Linked DNA regions of Pelodiscus sinensis. The protein of the gene in region 1 interacts with the protein of each later gene in a pairwise test. Links are inferred from orthologs where the notes say so. Each region holds a gene or a part of one and is shown on either strand. Other genes may lie near its edges.

Region 1 (9,900 bases):
AGGGCTGGAAGAGAGTTTACTTTCTGTCTGGGAAGCAGGGGAGAAGGGGGCTGGCATTGTAGGGCCCAGCAACCCCTCATCTCAAGGGGGGGCCCTGAGGCCTCCTAGCCCCAGTTCCTGTAACCAGATTCCATCTGTGCTGTGCTGTATCCTGGAGAAGCAATAAACTCCCCCTGTTCTACTGGCTGGCGGAGTCTGTTCGTGCCCCTACGGGGGTGCAGGAGTGGGGAAACCCCAACGCGCTGTCACAGGGTCCATCAATGGCTGTTAGCCAGGATGGGCAGGGATGGGGTTCCTGGCCTCTTGTTTGTCAGAGGCTGGGAAGGGGCGACAGGGGAGGGACCACTGGATGAGTCCCTGTTCTGTTCACTCCCTCTGGGGCATTGGCCACTGTGGGCAGACAGGACACTGGGCTAGATGGACCTTTGGTCTGACCCAGTCTGGCCACGCTGATGACCCTCGCGGGGGGCTGGGCCCAGAGTCCATTCCCAGAGGGTTTCTGAAATCTGTTCTTAGCACTGCACCCAGGATCTAGTGGGCACGTGCCCCGCCCAGCCCTGAGGTCTCTCAGCTGAGACCTGCCACACTCATCTCATGTCAGCTGCCCCCTTTCCCCTGGCAGGTGTGTAAAGCCTCAGGGCAGGACGGGGGAGAGCAGCTGGATCCGAGCGGCCGCGGGAGCTGCTACCTGGACGCGTCTCTGCGCCGGAGGCTGCGGGAGGAGTGTGGTGTGAGCGGCTGGACCCTGCTCCAGTTCCTGGGCGATGCCGTGCTGGTGCCGACGGGTGCGCCCCACCAGGTCAGGAGCCCAGCTCTGGTGCACGTTAGCCCTTGCCAACGGGCTGGGGATCGGGTGCTGCCCCCTTTGACCCTAGCCAGGGGGTCCTCTAGGAACATCTTGCATGTCTCGCCAGGAGTGCGCCAAGCACGTGACAAAGCGTCATTATCGCCGTTTGGCAGTTGGGGAAACTGAGGCACGGCGCGTGACAGCGACTTGCCCGAGGTCACCCAGCAACAGCGTTGGGAGTTGAACCCCAGTCTCCTAAGTCCCAGGACCCTATCCCCTGGGCCGTGCGACCTCCTAGGATGCCTTTTATCCATGCATTAATCAGCAAGCGCAAGGAAGCACCTTTCCCCTGCCTGGGCACCTGCTCTCTCCTCCGGCAGGATGGGGCCTTCCCCTTCTGATGCTTCCCCTGGGGCTCCCTCATGCGCTCTCCCCCCCCCCCCCCCGGCAGGTGCAGAGCCTCAGCAGCATCATCAGCGTCACACAGCGATTCCTGTCGCCAGAGAACGCCGCCCGCTCGGCCCGGCTCGTGGCCACGGACCCTGCCGGCATTGCACAGAGACTTCATGCACAGGTCAGGGGCTAACCTCCCCGCACAACCCCTCCCATCTCTCACAGGGGGGTGCCTGGCTCAGCTGGGTAGGGTCAGGAATAACTGTCCGAGCAGCTGTCTCAAGCTAAGCAGAATCCAGCCCGGTCAGCATGTGAATGGCAGAGACCAGCTGTTGGCGATTCGCTCTGAATCCAGGGTTCTAGGGGCCAACCAGGGTGCTGAAAACAGAGAGGGCCGGCCTGAGATACCAATGTGATTTTTGCAGGGGTCCAACTATGAACCTGGCCTCTGGCATGTCCAATGGGGTTACAACACTCTGCTTCCTTCCAACCCCCCCGGCAGTTTCAGGTGTAAATGGGGTTGCTCTTTGCTTCCTGTTGTGCCGCGCTGATGTCCGTCAGCGGTTGTGTTCTGCCCCAGAGCTGGCTGCATTTTGGTCTGAGGCGAAGCAGCGTCTCTGATCGTGCCTGGCTTGGCTCTGGTGTGGGTCCGTCGATTTCAGCTCCGCTCCTCCTGCTTCCCACGGCCGGGAGTGGAGGGAGAGTCGGGCCCGTTGCAGGCAAAGTGCCGCAGGGTGCTTCGAGCTGCCGTGCTCGATAGAAATGGAAGGGGTGATGGGGATGCCCCAAGGAGCGTGTGCACCAGTGTCTGAACCCCCCTTCTCTTGCAGATGGACAGCCTGGTGTACGGTGCTGTGCGGGAGGCAGTGGGAACCCTGCAGGGCTACAATTAAGGCACTAGCAGACGTGCAGCGCGGAAAGCCAGGCTGGCTTCGGACCAGGGCTCCAGGAGACAGAAGTGAGGCGAAGGGGGCTCAGGATTCCTGGGGAGCCACAGCTGCCCGTCGGGACGGGGAGTGGCTCTTTGGTGCTGGCTCAGACAGGCCGGGGCTGTCAGGCTGACGTGACCAGAGCGCGGGGTCCCAAGAGGAAGGTCTCTCGGACAACACGGAGCCCAAGCACGCTCGGGCCCCGCTGCTGCCTGGAGCACCGGGAAGGGCAGCAGCTGTGACGTGAGCAGGCAGGGCGGGATGAGCCGCCTGTGAGCCCGTCCTGGGCCGTGGCCCCCGGCATGTTCCACGCGGCCCCGGCCTGGAGCCCTCGGCGGATCGGACAGCCTGCCAGCTGCGTGGGGGTCCCTGGCCGCCATTCTGCACTGAGCGCTCATCCGGCAGGGCCCGGCTCGCCGGACGTCACCCCGGTGCTCGCTCCGACGGCGCCCGCCCACCCCGGCGTTGTCACGTTTGGTGCTTCCTTCGGTGATGTCACGCCCCGGGGCTCGCGCTGCAGCAGGGATGCTGGCAGGGCGCTGTCCCCGCAGACGCTCTCAGGGGGGCCACGGGGCACCAAGGAAATAAACGGCTGAGACGAGTCTCTGCGGAGACACGGCCGACGTCACGTGCAGAGTCCGTGTCTGTTGAATTCTCTCTCCCGCTCTCCCCTTTGCAGGCGGCTTGGGGCAGGGCAGGAGGAGTGAGGGTCTAACCATGGGCACTGGATCCGAGCCAGCAGCCAGCAACGCTTGAGACCCAGATCTCGCTCGGCCTTCCCCACCTCTCCCTGGTCCCCGCTGCCGGCTGCCTGAGAATCCACACCATGGCTGGGCATTAAAACTGGGGCAGTGGGTATCCTGGGCCCTGCCAGTGTGGGAAGCTTGGTTAGGGGGGTAGTGAGCTGTGGGAGGGGGGCGTTTCTGAGGGGTTTGTCTATTGGGAGCAGCCCCCCACTCTTCCAGCTGGCCCCCTGGATTCTCTCTCCAGGCCCGGGAGATCCCAGCAGGCAGACTGGCGTGACCCCTTTCCGATCTCACCGGGGGCTGCAGGAGGTGACCCCGCAGCCCTCTGGTTTATTCCGCTCTCCTGCCTGCGCCCCTCCGGGCTGCACTCTCATTGCTGGGCACGGGGGCTGAGCGAGCTAAGTGGGGTGAGATCGGGCAGCAGCCGCCCAGCCTGCTGGACGGATGGTCCCTCCCCGCAGGCGTAACGAAGGCAGGAGGCGGGGGCTCATGCCCTCGGATGTCACCGCCCAAGGAGAGCACATATCTGGGCTCTCCCTGGAGCTTGGGGACCAGAGCGGAAATGGGGCAAGGCCTGGAGTCCCCAGGCGGCTGTGGCTTGGGGGTACGTTTGCCCCAGTCCATTATTACAAGGGACGTCCCTTATTTTTCATCTCTGGGCGACACGCTCGGGTTGCCGAGCGCTGCTCCAAGCAGCGAGATACCCCGGGAAGCGTGGTGCTGCTCATAACAATGATTGATCCTCAGAGGAAGGGTGGGGCAGGGTGCTAAGAAACCAATCCCTTCGTTTTGAATTGCAAAGTTGGCGACCCTGCTTGAGGTGGGAAGCTGCACCGGGAGGGCGGGAGGCTACCCGGCCCTGCCTCGGTTTCCCTATCTGTCACACGCCCAGGCAGCCCCAGCTTGGGCAAAGCAACAGAGCCGCTCTCCTCCTGCAGCGCCCGTGCCTTGCCGGAGGGCCTGTTCCCATCTGTTCTCTGCTGCACCAGTCGGTAGAGATGCCCCCTCTCTCCACAGACCAGGGCCACCCTCCCCACGCAGGACCCGGGCGGCTGCTTAGCGCTTTCTGAAGGTCGTGCCGGGCGTGAGGCTGCTCTGCTGGTGCAGGCGTGGGACGGGGCTGGTCGGCTTAGAACGCCCTCCCCGACCCAAGCTCGCGGCTGTGCCCGTTAACGCGAGTCAGGGCCTCCACCCAGGCACCGAGGAGCTGGTCGCGTAGGCAGCAGGGGCGTGACACTCGCTCGGCTGCCCTCCTGCCTGTTGGCACCGTGTGGGGTGCCCCAGTGGGACGATGCTGAGACGTCGCCGGGGGAGTGGGGGGAGCCTGGCGTTTGCTGCACCTCCCAGTGTGGGGCGGATCACTGTGCTCAGGCTGTATTTGGTGCCGCACATCCTGGGCTTGGCCTCACCCCCGGCACTGACTCGGGATTCGGCGCGTGCCTGGATGATGTTGCACCAGGGCTGTGTTCTGGGCCCCGTGGCTCAGGGCTCGTTTGGCCGCGATCACCCAGAAGCTTTGCCCTGTGGTCCCTGTGCTGACCCCGGGACGCCTGCACTTGGAGCCCGGCCTCTCCACAGCAATGCCCATAATTCTCTGCCCAAAACACTCCCCTTGTGAGGGTCCATTTCCCATGGCCATGAACCCGTATCACAGATGGGGCTTTCGGTGGGCAGCCCCTGGGACAGGATGGTGCATTCTGGCGAGAGCAACAAGCGAGGCCCTCAGGGCTGTGGGAGGGAAGCGGTGTCTAGTGGTCAGAGCGGGGGTGGGGGGCCTGCCTGGGAGTCAGGGCTCAGCTCTGATGTCTACCTCGTGGGATGAGTGTTGTGTAGTGAGCAGAGCCGGGGCTGGGCTCGGAGTCAGAAGCTCTGGGCTCTGGTCCCATTTCTCCCCGACCGGGTGGGGTCAGCAATCCTGAGCAGCCTCCCGGAGGGCGAACCCACTGATGTCTGCGAAGCACTTGGAGATCTTGGACCAGGAAGGGCTGGCCTGGGGCCCATGTCAGATTTCCCCGTCTGCTGCGCCGGACATGGGGCCCCTGGACAATGCTTCACAGAGCCTGCCCTGTCCGTCCTGTCTGCCAAGCCAGACTCACAGCCTTTGGGAGCTCAGAGAGGATGGGGGAATCCCGTCTCTCCTCCCTGTTCTTGCAGGCCACTCCAGGGCTCCTTCCAGCGCTCGACTCCGCCTGCAAGTCAGGCGCTGCGGCTCCTCCGCACCCGCAGCCCGCCAGCTAAAAGAAACGGCCCCGGTTCCGCCCTGCAGATGAGTGAGAGCTGAGAGTTTAGCCGGCCAGGCAGGGTCAGCCCGGGTCAGGGAGGGATCAAGCAGCCAATCCCCACAGATTAAGAGCCGGTCATTTCAGGCTGCTGTGAATTAGACCCTGTCAAGTGAGGCGCTGGGGTAAGTTTAGACCAGATGCTCCGCTTGGCTGCTGGCCAGCTGAACGCTGCTCTGCTTGGCTGGGCCACACGCTCTCCCTGCTTTCCACAGGCCTCTCCCGTCGCTTGTGACTCTGGGTGGGAGGCCAGATAGTTCCCTTTTTCCAGGAGACAAAGACACCCTTTGAGTGAGCAAAAAGCCTCCGAAACTCTCCCGGCTCCAGGCATTGGAGGGGGGTGTCCAGGGTTCAGGGAGCTTCCCCTACGAGGTGGATACATCAAACCCAGCCCTGCGTGGAACCCCGTCGCTGCCTGCAGCTAGTCAGTGCCATGAGTTTGATGGGGCTCAGGCCAGTTCCCGCTCATGATTGATGGGGTTCCCCCAGCGCCTAGGCACCCGTCCTGGCTCAGGACCAGTGTTCCCCGTAAGCCGAGTGCTTGGGCAGCCGCCCGGGAGAGATTCAAATGCCGCCCAGCGGAGTAGCAGAGCACCCCCAGCCGGCAGCCTGGGTTTCTACCTACGGAGCACGTCCGCACATGCCTCGGTGCACGGAACAAAACTTATTCCACACATGGATGGAAAAAATGAGGGGCTGGCATTGCCCTCTAATACCCCGGGGGGGGGGGCTGGCACTGGCCCCAATGCCCCGGGGGGGGGCTGGCACTGGCCCCTAATACCCCGGGGGGGGGGGCTGGCACTGCTGGGTGACCCCGCCGCCCTATGGCAGGGGTCCAGGGTGCCCCCCCCTCCACGTCGCTACGGAGGTGCCCAGAGCAGGACATCGCGAGCCCTTGGAGGGGGGTGGGGGGGTGACGCGGCCCCTTTAAGAAGAGGCTCCTCCTCCCCGCCTGGGCCGGCTGAGTGACCGCCCCTCCTGCCCAATGGAAGGGGAGGGGCGGGCCCCAGCCGGCCAATGGCAGCTGAGCGTTGCCAGCCTCTTCCGGGGTGGGAGGGGAAGGGAGCGGAGGCCGCCGGGGAAAGTGGAGTAAGTGGGGGGGAGCCAGGGGGGCTCCCGACTCCTCCTGCCTCAGTCCCCGGGGCCCGGCCCCGCCCCCTGCCCGGGCCCCCCAGCTCGGGGGGGTCCCCATTGTCTCCCCAGCCCCCCCCCGCTCTAGGGGCCCCCCAGCCCCCCATTGTCTCCCCAGCCCCCCCCCCGCTCTAGGGGCCCCCCAGCCCCCCATTGTCTCCCCAGCCCCCCCCGCTCTAGGGGCCCCCCAGCCCCCCATTGTCTCCCCAGCCCCCCCCGCTCTAGGGGCCCCCCAGCCCCCCATTGTCTCCCCAGCCCCCCCCCCCGCTCTAGGGGCCCCCCAGCCCCCCCATTGTCTCCCCAGCCCCCCCGCTCTAGGGGCCCCCCGCCCCCCCATTGTCTCCCCAGCCCCCCCCCGCTCTAGGGGCCCCCCGCCCCCCCATTGTCTCCCCAGCCCCCCCGCTCTAGGGGCCCCCGCCCCCCCCATTGTCTCCCCAGCCCCCCCGCTCTAGGGGCCCCCCGCCCCCCCATTGTCTCCCCAGCCCCCCCGCTCTAGGGGCCCCCCAGCCCCCCCATTGTCTCCCCAGCCCCCCCCGCTCTAGGGGCCCCCCCGCCCCCCCATTGTCTCCCCAGCCCCCCCCGCTCTAGGGGGACCCCCAGCCCCCCCATTGTCTCCCCAGCCCCCCCCCGCTCTAGGGGCCCCCCAGCCACCCCATTGTCTCCCCAGCCCCCCCCCGCTCTAGGGGCCCCCCAGCCCCCCCATTGTCTCCCCAGCTCTGGGGGGGGTCCCCCAGCCCGTTCCTGCCCCTTAAGCCCCAGCTCTCAGAGCCCCCCCTTTTTCTTGCTGACCCCCATGAGAGATGGGGGGGTGCAAGGGGGCGGGGCTATTTGGGGCTCAACCCCCCCCATCCCAGCTGGCCCCAGTGCGCTGGAGCCTTTGCTCCCCCGCCCCCCCATGACCCCCTTCCTGGTGTGGAGTATTGGGGTGCAGGAAGACAGCTGCCCCCCCCAGCATCTGTACCCCTTGGGCCCCCCCATTTCAAGGGCGCTCAGGTCACCCTGCTCCCGTCCCCACAGCCCCCTGGTCCCTCCTGGTGTCTGACCCGTGGGGGGGGTTGGGGTGTTGCAGCCATGGCCTCCGGGGCTCCGGCGGAGGAGCTGGACGCCGTGCTGAGTGGCAGAGGCTGGGAGGTGCAGGAGCGGTATGACTCGGCCCCCGCGCCCGCTCACCCTGTCAGAGTGCGGAAGACCGTCTGCTACATCGTTTTGGCCGTCCTGCTGAACGACCAGGTGAGGGAGCCCCACGGCGCTAGCTACGGCTTGGGGTTCTCCTATGGTGCCCATCACCGTGGCATCGAGTCGCTGCAGGGTGAACGTCCACAGTCCAGAAAGTGCAGCACATCCGGCTCCTTTCAAGCTGTCTCAGTTTGGGTCCCCCGAATCACTGGCCACTCTTGGAAATCTTGGCCTGTGTTTTTAAATTAACTAGCACTTTGTTTCAAGGCACTTTTACAAAGGTGAGGGAAGTAGTCTCTGCACATTACCTCTGGGGAAACCGAGGCGCACAGAGAGGTGAGATGATGTGCCCAACATCACAGTGGGTCAGTAGCACAACATGGAGTGAGACCCAACTTCTTTGCGTGTGTTACTAACAACTCAATCGAACAAAGCTCCAACAACGAAGGCACTAGACTAGTAACTTTTGATGGTATAGCGTCATCTGCTAGATGTGTGATTTCTTTTTTTGGCTGGGATGGGTTGTTTTAAATGAGTAATCAGGAAACCTTGATTTAAAGAATAGATTTTAATATAATTGTGCATTTGTATGTTTTAGTCACTTTCAAAAGGTTGAGTCTCATTGGTTGGTGAAGATGAAAACATTGATTTGCAGCTAAATACAGTCTTTAAATAAACATGATTCTTTTTGCTACCCTGGAGAATATTTGTTTTAACAATTCTGTAGCGTAACATACCTCTTAGGGTTGTCAGTTAATGCGCATTAATGCCTCTGATTAATGCAGAGCAGAATTAACGTGTTAATCGTTTAAACATGCATTAATCTCAGGTGTTTCCACGGCGCTGCCTCTTTGAAATGCCACGGCTGCGTTTCAAAGGGGCAGAACAAGTGGAGCCCAGGATAAGCTGTGTGGCGCTGCCCCGAGCCCACAGTCAGCTGTGCGGTGCTGACCCTTTGAAAAACTGCCGCGGAATTTCAAAGGGGCAGCGCTGCATGAAGCCCAGGGTCAGCTGGGGATTCCAGCTGATCCTGGACTCCCATGGTGCTGCCCCTTTAAATGCCCCTTTGGAACACCACAGCAGAATTTCAAAGGGGCAGCGCACCATGGAGCCCGGGATCAGCTGGAGTCTTCTTATTGTTTAACAGCGCGATTAATCGCGATTAATTTTTTAAATCTCTTGACAGAACTAATACCTTTAGAAGTGGGTCTTTGCCCACGAAAGCTTATGCTCCAACACTTTGGTTAGTCTATAAGGTGCCACAGGACTCCTCGCCGCTTTTGCAGATTCAGACTAACACGGCTACACGTCTGATACTCAATACCTTTATTGAAATTCTTAATTCTTTTCAGCTGAACATTGACTTCATTCAGCTATGGAACTTTACTGTGCTGAAAAAAATAGTTTTTGTAACCATTGTAGCTTAAATGAAACAAGCAAAGACAGTTTCCTTTGTCAAATCTTTTTAAAAGTGTTCTTTATCTTTGTAGTGGTTGATGTTTAACGCAGTACCATACTGGGGTTGCTTTTTTTATTTGTTTCTCTCTGTTGCTGTCTGTGTATTCAAGTTCCAAACGAGGTGCATGGTCAACACTGAGGTTCTATTGTACTAGAAAGTGTTTTTCAACAACTGGGTCCAGTCCCCGAGGTACAATTGAGAAGCAGCAAGCCGGTCCCTCACATCAAAAAAGATTAGAAATGATGTCCCAGTTGATTTGATTTTGTTGCTTGTAATTTGTGTCAAGCTCTGTTTGGACAGAAATTGGAATTCACGTACAAACACACAAAAAAGCATTTTGTAATTTTTTTGGTTAGTTACATAAAACTTCCTTAAATGAGTTGGTTACAGAATTGGGGGGAGGGGGAGAGAATATCAAAACATAATTTTGTATTTCAAATCAGCTAATTTAGTGAACAAAGGAATATCTGTTAATTAACCAAAGTGATCTTTTTCGGGTCCCACTTCCTTTTGAATTTGTAGCTTTCTTCTGCACACCTAGGCTACGTCTAGACTGGCATGATTTTCCATTAAAAGCATTTGCGGACAAGAGTGTCCAGATTGGCACGGACACTTTTCCACAAAAGCACTTTTTGCGGAAAAGCATCCGTGCCAGTCTAGACGTGCTTTTGCGCAAAAAAGCCCCGATGGCCATTTTCGCGATCGGGGCTTTTTTGCTCAGAACAAATCTGAGCTGTCTACACTGGCCCTTTAGCGCAAAAGGACTTTTGCCCGAATGGGAGCAGCATAGTATTTCCGCAAGAAGCACTGATTTCTTACATGAGATCGTCAGTGTTCTTGCGGAAATTCAAGTGGCCAGTGTAGACAGCTGGAAATTTTTCCGCAAAAGCAGCTGCTTTTGTGGAAAAACTTGCCAGTCTAGACACAGCCCTAGAGTGTATTCCTAGATTGGATAGGGGAAAAGAAGTTGTCATACTCTGAGCACTCCTGGTTGGTTTCT
Region 2 (9,536 bases), on another chromosome or scaffold:
GAGATGCTGGAGTGGGAGGGGGGGGAAGGGGGAAGACAATGTAGCACCACATGTGCTCTCAAATGCTCACCCCCTGCCTCATCACAAGGCTAGCGCTGTGCACTTCCCCACAACAGTGCCTTCCGACCAGGATCACCCCTGGGGGCTGCAAACTTCCCTGCAGCAGTGCCCTGAGTGAAGGACACCTCCAAGCTGCCCTGCGACAGTGCTCCCCCAGGCAGGTAAGTCTCTCCAGCGCTGCGAGCTTCACCGCAGCAGTGCCCCCAACCGGTGGCCATGCTGCGAGCTTCCCTGCAACAGTGCCCGAGGCGGTGACAATCCCAGATGCTGCGAGCTTCCCCACGGCAACGCCCTAAGGTGGGAACACCCACTGGCGCTGTGAACTTCCCCGTGACAGTGCCCCCGACCGCTGACGATCCCGGATGCTGCGAGCTCTCCCGTGGCAGGACGCCCCGGGGAGGTTCCAAGATACCTGTTAACTCGCACCCCATATCTGCTCTCGTCCACCGCCATGGCCTTCGTCATTGCTGTCACCGCGCCCTGGGGACAGACTCCAGATCGAGGGGCTGTCAGGGACTCCGCCCCTCCCGCTCCCCCCTGCGAAACACCAGATCCCAGGTGGGGGGATGGGTCTGTGCTGAGTGACCCCCCCCTCCCCACCAAACGGTCTGCTCAGCAATAGCTACAGGCACAGGACAGCTGGGTTCTCCTCCTCCTCCGGGAGGGGAGTGGGGGCTAGTGGTTAGAGCAAGGGGGGCAGGGGCCAGGACTCCCCTGAGTCTACCCGTACCTTGGTGGCGACGTAGGGAACCGCCTGCCTCTGTCCGATGATGCCCACGAGACTGGAGATGTTGATGATGTTGCCTCGGGTCTCCCGTAGAGAGGGCAGGGCGGACTGCACCAGAGACGTGAGAGACAGGTGGGGGAGAGGCAGCTGCTTCTGGGGCACGGCACTGGGGACGGGCACATTAGAACCCCTCCCGGGCCCTGGGATGCAGCTGGCTCTGGGGTGGGAGCTGGGATTACAGGAACCCCCCCCCCCCCGGCTCTGGGGTGGAGCACGGGGCCTCGGTATACAGGAGCCCCTCCCTAGCCCTGGGATGCAGCTGGTTCTGGGGTGGGAGCTGGGGGCTGGGATTACAGGAACCCCCCCCCCAGCTCTGGGGTGGAGCACGGGGCCTCGCTATACAGGAGCCCCTCCCTAGCCCTGGGATGCAGCTGGCTCTGGGGTGGGGCAAGGGGCCTGGGTTTCTGGGAGCCCCTCCCAGGGTGGGGGCAACTCTCACCTTTGCCATCAGGAAGTAGCCGACCAGGTTGAGGTCGAGAAGGGCCCGGAAATGCTGGGCGGTGACGTCGTCAATTTGCTCCTCAGGAGGATCTGCGGGTGGGGGGTGAAAAGTGGGACTCCGGCCCCAAACCCCCTCCCCTCCCGACTCAGACTTGGGATCCCCATTTCCCCTTCCGTCAAGTCCGCGGGGCCCCCCATGACACCCCTTTATGGCCCTTGAGCCCCCCAGCTCAGGGGTTCCCCCCACACTCCCGGGCTGCCCCAGGGGCCCCCCCTCCTGTCCCCCAATGGGGGGGGCCACTCACGGCGGCCGGCGTTGTTCACCAGGCAGTCGATACGGCCGTAGCGCTTCAAGGTCACCGCGATCAGCGCCTGGGGGGCAGGAGAACGGGTGGGGGGTTGCGGGGGGCAAGGGGAGCAAGAGGCTGGGTGTGGGAGGGGAGGGAGGATGTGGGGGAATCGGGCAAGGTGGGGGCAGAGATGGAGGTGGGGGGAGCAGGGAGATGGGTGTGGGGATGGGGAAGAAGGAATTGGGGGTCCAGAGCAGGACACAGGTGGGGGGAATTTGACCCACTGGGCCCCAAGCTGAGGTTCCCCCCCCCCCAGTATTGCCCATCCCCCCACAGAAAGCACAGAGAGTAATATACACTTGCTGCATCTGCCCCTCCCCCACCCTGGAGCAGACCCCCCCCCCCGTACCACTTCCCCCACCCACCTGGATCTCCTCTTCGCTGGTGACATCACAGGGCTGGAAATGGGGCTCTCCAGGGCCCCCCGCTTCCTGCAGCTCCTGCTCCAGGGCCCGCCCCATGGCCTCTGCAAGGGAAAGGGGGCTATGGAGCACAGACACCAAACATGGGGTGGGGAGACTATCCAGGAAAGGGGGGGGAACCGGTTCTGGCAGGAGGACGGATTTCGGGAGCCGAGAGAGAACTATTCTCCCCCTCCCCCATCAGCACAAGGAGACTAGTCCCTCCCCCCCACCCCCCCAGGCTGCCAACTTCGGCCACAGGGGTCCCAGTAGGGATGTGAATGGTTAACCAATTAAACGGGATTTTACGTCCCTCACCCCCAGAAACACAGGGAGCAATCTCTCACCTTCAGCTTGGGGGGCACAGAAGACCACATTGGCTCCCTGCCGAACTGGGGGGGAGGGGACAAAGCGGGGTGCAACAGGGGATGGAGAAGCACATGGGGGAGGGAGATGAGAGAATCAAGTTAGCAGTAAAAACACCAGCACCAGTAAATCCCCAAGCGCTGCGAGCTTCCCCATAGCAGTGCCCCTAGACAGGAACTTCCCCCTGGTGCTGCGAGCTTCCCCATAGCAGTGCCCCCAGACCGGGACACACACAGAGCAACGTGAACTTCCCCCCAGCAGTGCCCCTAGACGGGAACTTCCCCCTGGTGCTGCGAGCTTCCCCCCAGCAGTGCCCCCAGACAGGGACACGCCCCCCCTTCACCCAGGAATGTGAACTTCCCCCCAACAGTGCCCCTAGACGGGAACTTCCCCCTGGTGCTGCGAGCTTCCCCCCAGCAGTGCCCCCAGACAGGGACACGCCCCCCTTCACCCAGGAATGTGAACTTCCCCCCAGCAGTGCCCCTAGATGGGAACTTCCCCCTGGTGCTGCGAGCTTCCCCCCAGCAGTGCCCCCAGACAGGGACACGCCCCCCTTCACCCAGGAATGTGAACTTCCCCCCCAACAGTGCCCCTAGACTGGAACTTCCCCCTGGTGCTGCGAGCTTCCCCCCAGCAGTGCCCCCAGACAGGGACACGCCCCCCTTCACCCAGGAATTTGAACTTCCTCCCAGCAGTGGCCCTAGATGGGAACGTCCCGCGTGGTGCTGCGAGCTTCCTCACAGCAGTGCCCGTGGGAGACGATGCAGCTCTGCTGACCCCTGCTGGCCAGCCCCACACATCTCAAGATACATTAATCTCAACTCGTCCCCCCCACGTCTCCACTGAACAAGGGGATGGAGGGGGAGGGGGAGGGGGAGGGAGGAGGGGAAGGAAGGGGAAGACCCCCCCAATAAGTCCAGTCTCCCCGTTAGCAGCGGAGTTTGGGGGCTGCAGGGGGTTCGCTGCCGCGTTCTTCACCCATGGCCCCTCCCCCCATCTCCCAGGGTCAGCGACCGGCCGAATAGATGGACACGGGACAGACAGACAAAGTCCACGAAGATGCCAGACGCAGCCCAACCTTGGAGTCTGCCCCCCACTCCCAGCCCCCCAGGAGCCCCACATCCACCCTCTTGCAATGTCCCAGCCCCCCACAAATCTCCCCTGATCCCCTCCGCAGGGCTCTGCTCCCCCACGGCCGCCTCCGCCCCCCTACTGCCCCCCCTTCCCCAAGCTTCCTCACCCCGCTGCAGCCCCCCCCCGCAAGCCCCTTGCCCCAGAAGCGCCCCCCCCCGCAAGCCCCTGGCCCCAGAAGCGCCCCCCCCCCCGCAATGCCCCCAGCCCCCCTGCAGGTCCCCCCGCACCAAACTCCTTCACGATGGCCGCGCCGATGCCGCGGCTGCCCCCGGTGACAATGGCCACCCGGCCCGGGTAGCGCAGCCCCGAGGCCATGGTGCTGGGCGCACCCGGGCTCGCAGCTGCTCGGGGCGAGGGAAAAAGGGAAGCTGCTGCCCGCAGGGCACATGAGGGGCGGTGCATCCTGGGAAATGTAGTCCTGTCCGGCGGGGGCGGGGCATCCTCCCTCTAGGGGGCCGCTCCCACCCGGCCACAGGGCAGGGCCTGGCTGGCTATGGGGGGCAGGGGATTTGTCTGGGCAATAAAGTTTCAGAGATTCAAGGGCTCAACAAGGGCAACATAAATGAGATTTATTGAGTACATTTGTCTGCGATGTGCCCCCACGAACGCCCCGAGGGTCCAGGGGAAATCGAGGCTGAGTTCCCAGCTGCCCCTGGGGTGGGGTTCTGGGTATCCAGGGACCGGTGTGCCCTGTAAGCTGAGCGCTTGGGCGGCCATCCAGGGGAGAGTCAGCTGCAGCCGAGCAGGTTGGCAGAGCGCCCACAGCTCAGTTTTGTTTGCACAGGCGGTGCACGTCCGCACATGCTTCGGTACGCACATTTCTTCCGCACAGGTGGTGCACATCCGCACATGCATTGGTACACATAAAATTTATTCCACACATAGATGGAAAAGATTAGGGGGAACACTGACAGGGGCCCCTTGACTGGCGCTGGGCCAGGGCCCCACTGCAGTAGGGCGGGGGCTGGGTACACAAGGACCCCTCGCCCCGCCCAAAGAGAAAGCCCCTGGCAGTGGGGAGAGTGCAGGCTGTCAGCAATTAGCAGGTTCCCACGTCTCTGACTCCAGCTGCATTGGGACTGTGGCTGAAATCTGCTGGCCCCAAAGCCCAGGTGGGGGGCAGAGGACCATCCAGTACCCCACAAATCCCCCTTCCCACTGGCCCCTGACTGGCCCCTTCGCTGCAGCTCCTGTAGGGTGGGTGTTGGGAGGGAGCCTAGGGCAGGGGCTGCAGGGCGGTTGTGAGGGGCACTGGCAGAGCTGGTGGGGGGCTGGACTAGAAGAGGGTTCAGGGAGTGCACTTCCCAATCTGCCCACCAGAGGGCAGCAAGATGCTGGGACCCTGCATGGGGCTAGGGCAGGGGTCTCCAGCCTTTTTAACCCCAAGGTCACCTGTTCGATGGAGGGGCAATGTCACCCCCACATACCCTTCCCCCGCCCCTTCTCTGAGGCCCCTTTCTCCTCCCCCACCCTCACTTACTCACACAGGCTGGGGTAGGGGGTTGGGGTGCAGGGTCTGGTCTTGGGCCAAGGGGTTTGGCATGGGGGGGGCTCCGGGCTCAGCCAAGGGCGGGGGATCGGGGTCCGGGGGGGTTCAGGGTGCAAGTTCTGGGAAGGAATTTGGGTGCAGGGGGACTCACGTCTGGGGCAGGAGAAGGTTCGGGGCAGGGACAGGGGTTCAGGGAGCAGACTCTGGCGGTTTCCGCTGGGTGGGGCAGGGGGGTTAAGGCAGCTGACGTCCACCCTGCCCCCGCCCCGCTCCTGAAAGCAGCTGGCAGCTCAGCAACAGCTCCGTGGCGCCATGTGCTGCCCCTCCTCTACCGGCACTGAGCCCACAGCATCCACTGGCCTCGGTTCCCCGTTACTGATCAGTGGGAGCTGTAGGAGCGGGGTCGGCATGTGGAGTCCCCCTGCTCTGCCTCCCTCAGGGGCTGCAGGGACATGGGACCATCTCCACCAGCAGCAATGGCCACGGGGCTGGTGACTCCGGCCACGGCAGGTGCGGCAGTTTAGAACTCACGGCCCAAAGAATGACACTGACGCGCTAGAGAAACGAAAACGATGACACGCACGGAGCTGTCCCAAACCGAAAGGAACCCACTTTGCAAGCAGGAAAAGTAACAACCCCCCACGTGTGTGTTGGGTGGGGAGAGGAGAGGGAAGGACGGGGGGGGGGGGGTGAGACAGAGACGGACACACACACAGTGTGAGATCTGCCTTGCCACGCTCCCTCCATCCCCTTCTCTCTGTGTGGAGATGGGATACAGAAGTGGGGGAGAGGGGAGACACCCTGACATCAGCGCCCCCCCTTGCCCGCCCCACACCCTGCACAGCGAGCAGGAGGCTCTGGGGGGCAGCTCTAAGGCAGAGGGCAGGAGCAGCAGGACCGTGGGGCAGAGGGGCAGCGCTTGAGAGCTTCCCGGCCAAACCAGTCAGGATCCCAAGATCAACTGGTTGGTGACTGGGTTAGGGAGTCCCCAGTCTGACCTTTGACCCTGGGTCCCAGCCCCACCTCCCCTTTGGGCACATCCCCATATATAGCCCCCCCCCCCGATGATGCAGAGAAGGGGCGGGACTTGACCCTGCCTCTGAGCCAATGGGTTAGAAGCTGGATTGCAGCAGGGTTATCCTGATTGGCTGGCTCCCCTCGCACAGGTACGCCACCACCTGGCTGGGTGGGGCATGCGCACCCTGCCCCTGGCACCTGCCATTGGCCAAGCCTTTGTGACCCACAATCCTTTGCTCCAGCACCCAATTCCCACAATCCTTTTGGGAGGCCCAGAGCGGAGGCAACGCCCGACTGGATGCCTTGTGTACAGTCGACGTCCCATTGGCCAATTCAGGCAACGGGGCTGCCCAATGCGATGTGTCCGGCAGTGGCGATGCCCGATTGGCTGCCTCCGACAGACACGAGGCCTGATTGGCTGCATCTGGCGAGGCGGACAACCAGTGAGAAAACTCAGAAACAGACGATGCCCAATTGGCCGCTTGATTTAGAGGCGATGCCTGATTGGCTGATTCTGCCCGCTGCACGGATTGGGCGGTAAATGCCGTCTTCTGATTGGCCGGGCTGCACGGTTTAGTCACGACGTGATTGGCCCCTGGGTCTTCCCTGGAGGCTATCATGGTAAGCGGTAAGTGCTGATTGGTCACTGCATGCAGCGACTCTGGGGAGGGGTTCAGACGGGGGTCACAGCCCTCCCGCTGGGGTTCAGGCGGGGGCTTCCCTGCACAGAGAGAGGAAACCAGAGTCACCCCCCCCCAAAGCCGAGACCTCTGGGGTGGGGGGGGCTGGGTATAGGCGACCCCTCACCCAGCATGGAGATGCAGCCACCTCTGGGGTGGGGCACGGGGCTGGGCATGAGGCAACCCCTTCAGATCTTCAGTGAATTAAAGAGAAATGGGCCCCTTGCCCAGCCCCACCCCCTGCCCCAGACTCTCCCCCACCCCCCAGCTGTTCCTACCCCAGGGACCTGCCAGCCGGAGCCAGAAATTCCCCCAACAGCTGAACCAGATTCCAGCCATTTTCCACTGTGTTTGTTTAGCTGTTTTCCCGTTGGGAGGGGAGGGGAGGGGAGGGGAGGGGGTCTAGAAAGAGGCCCCTAAAGGGGGGGGTAAAACTCGGGCATCCTGGTTCCCAGCCCCCTGCTCTGCCCACTAGACCCCGCCCCCCCGCCCCCCGAGTGTCCAGGCCCCCAGCCCTGTTACCTGTGATGAGTTTGCTGCGCTCAGAGGCCTCGGTGGCCAGCGCGTATGCCAGGCTCCTGATCCGGTGACGGTCTCTCTCGGGGGGTAGGGAAGGCCCGCCCCAGTGTCCCTTGGTCTGCCCCCCCCTCACTGGTACGTCCATGTCGGTCAGGCTTGGCTCCGGCCCGAGGCTGGGAGGGGGAGCTGGAAGGCGGAACTGGAGAATTTTGGAAGGCGGAGTGAAGGGAGGGAATCTAAGCAGTTCAGCGTGTCCGCCCCGCCCCCCGCCCATGTCCTAACCCAGGCACACACCTCTAACGCTAACCACTAGACCCCGCTCCCCTCTCCGAACCTGGAAAGAACCCAGGGGCCCTGCACTACTGGCAGGCCGGAGGTGAGCTTGACTGGGGGGGCACAGTGGGTGTGGCCTCAGGACATGCCCCACCCCCTGGCAGCCCCTCCCCCGCAGGCTGCGTACCCACCCGGCTGGCGCTGGTCCGGAGGGAGCCAGGCCGAGGAGCCCCAGGCGTCGGCCTGGCCGCCTCATGCTGCCTCTGCCCTTCCTGGTGCCGCCGCATCCTCGCCAGCTGCTCCTCAATGCTCATCCGGGCCCGGTGGGGACCAGGGGGTTCTGGCACACGCTCCTGGGGTAAGGGGAGAATCGCAGACCAAACACCTGCAGGGAACCCAGGCGTCCGGGCTCCCAGCCCCTCCTCCCCCCCGCTCTAACCATTAGATCCCACCCCCTTCCCCGATGTGGGGAGAGAACCCAGGCGTCCGGGCTCCCAGCCCCTCCCCTCTCCGCTCTAACCATTAGACCACACCCCCTTCCCCAATCTGGGGAGGGAACCCAGGCGTCTGGGCTCCCAGCCCCTCCCCTCTCCGCTCTAACCATTAGACCACACCCCCTTCCCCAATCTGGGGAGGGAACCCAGGCGTCTGGGCTCCCAGCCCCTCCCCTCTCCGCTCTAACCACTACACCCCAGGGCCCTCCCTGTTCTGGGGAGATAACCCAGGCATCTGGGCTCCCAGGCACCGACTCCCAGGGGAGTGAGGGAGCCCAACTACCTTGGCTGGCAGCTCCTCGGTTCTCTGCTCCCAGGGCTCCAGGGGGCCTGGGCGGGGGGCGGCTGGAGGCGAGTGGAGACCTGTGGGGGCAGGGGAGGGGGTTAAAGGGGCGGGGAAGGGACAAGAGGGGTGCATGTTTCCCCAGACAGACTAGGCAAGGGGGGAGGAACCGCACCTGGTGCCGCGTCTGTCTCCTGCAGGGGGGGCCCTCCGTCCAGCTCGGGGGACCCAGCCCCTCTTCTAGAAGGGCCCTGGGGGGGCTGGGAGCCCCAGGTCTCCCCCCTCGTCGCTGGGACCTCGTCCCTCACGCCAGCTGCCTCGCCCTGCGGGGAACAGAGAGACGTGGGGGGGGGGAGCCAGGGTCTGTGGGGTGGGAGGGAGGGGCACTGGCAGGGCTGGGGGGCTGGGCTAGGACAGTCAGAATTGGGGCCCCCTTTGACAGCAGCCCCCAGTTCTTCCCCCAGCCAGTCCCCACTCCCCAAGGATGGGTCCCCCCCCCAGGAGTGCAGCCCCCCCCTCACCCTGGCAGATGGCTCAAGGCTCCTTCCATCCGGCCCTGGGAGGGGGCTCTGGGCTGAGCCCCCCCCAGGCTCCAGAACGGGGGAGGCAGCCGGAGAGAAGCCTGCAAAGGAGACAAAACAGAGTCAGTGACCCCCCCTGCCAGGACTCTCACCCCAGCCCCTGCAGCCCAGGCCCCCGCCGGGCCCCCACCACACCCCCCTGCAGCCCAACCCCCCCCGGGTCCCCGCCACACCCCCTGCAGCCCAATCCCCCCCCCGGGCCCCCGCCACACCCCTGCAGCCCAATCCCCCCCCCGGGCCCCCGCCACACCCCCTGCAGCCCAATCCCCCCCCCGGGCCCCCGCCACACCCCCTGCAGCCCAACCCCCCCCGGGTCCCCGCCACACCCCCTGCAGCCCAATCCCCCCCCCGAGCCCCCGCCATACCCCTGCAGCCCAATCCCCCCCCCGGGCCCCCGCCATACCCCTGCAGCCCAACCCCCCCCGGGTCCCCACCACACCCCCTGCAGCCCAATCCCCCCCGGGCCCCCGCCACACCCCCTGCAGCCCAATCCCCCCCCCGAGCCCCCGCCATACCCCTGCAGCCCAACCCCCCCCGGGTCCCCATCATACCCCTGCAGCCCAATCCCCCCCCCGGGCCCCCACCACACTCCCTGCAGCCCAATCCCCCCCCCGGGCCCCCGCCACACCCCCTGCAGCCCAATCCCCCCCCCGGGCCCCCG

What was found.
Region 2: the proteins of NUDT18 (region 1) and HSD17B14 interact in binary tests that used the Homo sapiens proteins (3 or more experiments, as listed by UniProt). The two-hybrid records come from large-scale screens. The link is inferred for Pelodiscus sinensis from reciprocal best matches to the Homo sapiens genes NUDT18 and HSD17B14.

What each region holds. Positions count from the first base shown.
Region 1 is NC_134738.1:11,703,185-11,713,084, forward strand, and holds the start of NUDT18 (8-oxo-dGDP phosphatase NUDT18), read left to right. Parts: upstream 1-6,145; 5' UTR 6,146-6,223; intron 6,224-7,334; 5' UTR 7,335-7,336; coding exon 7,337-7,495; intron 7,496-9,900. Other genes in the region: HR (lysine-specific demethylase hairless), read left to right, coding at 623-799, 1,239-1,361, 2,011-2,073. UniProt on the Homo sapiens protein: Mediates the hydrolysis of oxidized nucleoside diphosphate derivatives. Hydrolyzes 8-oxo-7,8-dihydroguanine (8-oxo-Gua)-containing deoxyribo- and ribonucleoside diphosphates to the monophosphates. Hydrolyzes 8-oxo-dGDP and 8-oxo-GDP with the same efficiencies.
Region 2 is NW_027465977.1:63,485-73,020, reverse strand, and holds the start of HSD17B14 (L-fucose dehydrogenase), read right to left. Parts: upstream 4,045-9,536; 5' UTR 3,942-4,044; coding exon 3,767-3,941; intron 3,691-3,766; exon of another isoform or gene 3,410-3,690; intron 2,432-3,409; coding exon 2,387-2,431; intron 2,105-2,386; coding exon 2,004-2,104; intron 1,661-2,003; coding exon 1,594-1,660; intron 1,379-1,593; coding exon 1,287-1,378; intron 896-1,286; coding exon 791-895; intron 541-790; coding exon 473-540; intron 222-472; exon of another isoform or gene 89-221; intron 7-88; coding exon 1-6. Other genes in the region: PLEKHA4 (pleckstrin homology domain-containing family A member 4), read right to left, coding at 6,141-6,766, 7,248-7,443, 7,709-7,870, 8,295-8,374, 8,470-8,617, 8,816-8,916. UniProt on the Homo sapiens protein: Catalyzes the NAD(+)-dependent oxidation of L-fucose, yielding L-fucono-1,5-lactone, which rapidly converts spontaneously to L-fucone-1,4-lactone. Can also act on D-arabinose and L-galactose, with lower catalytic efficiency. Does not use NADPH.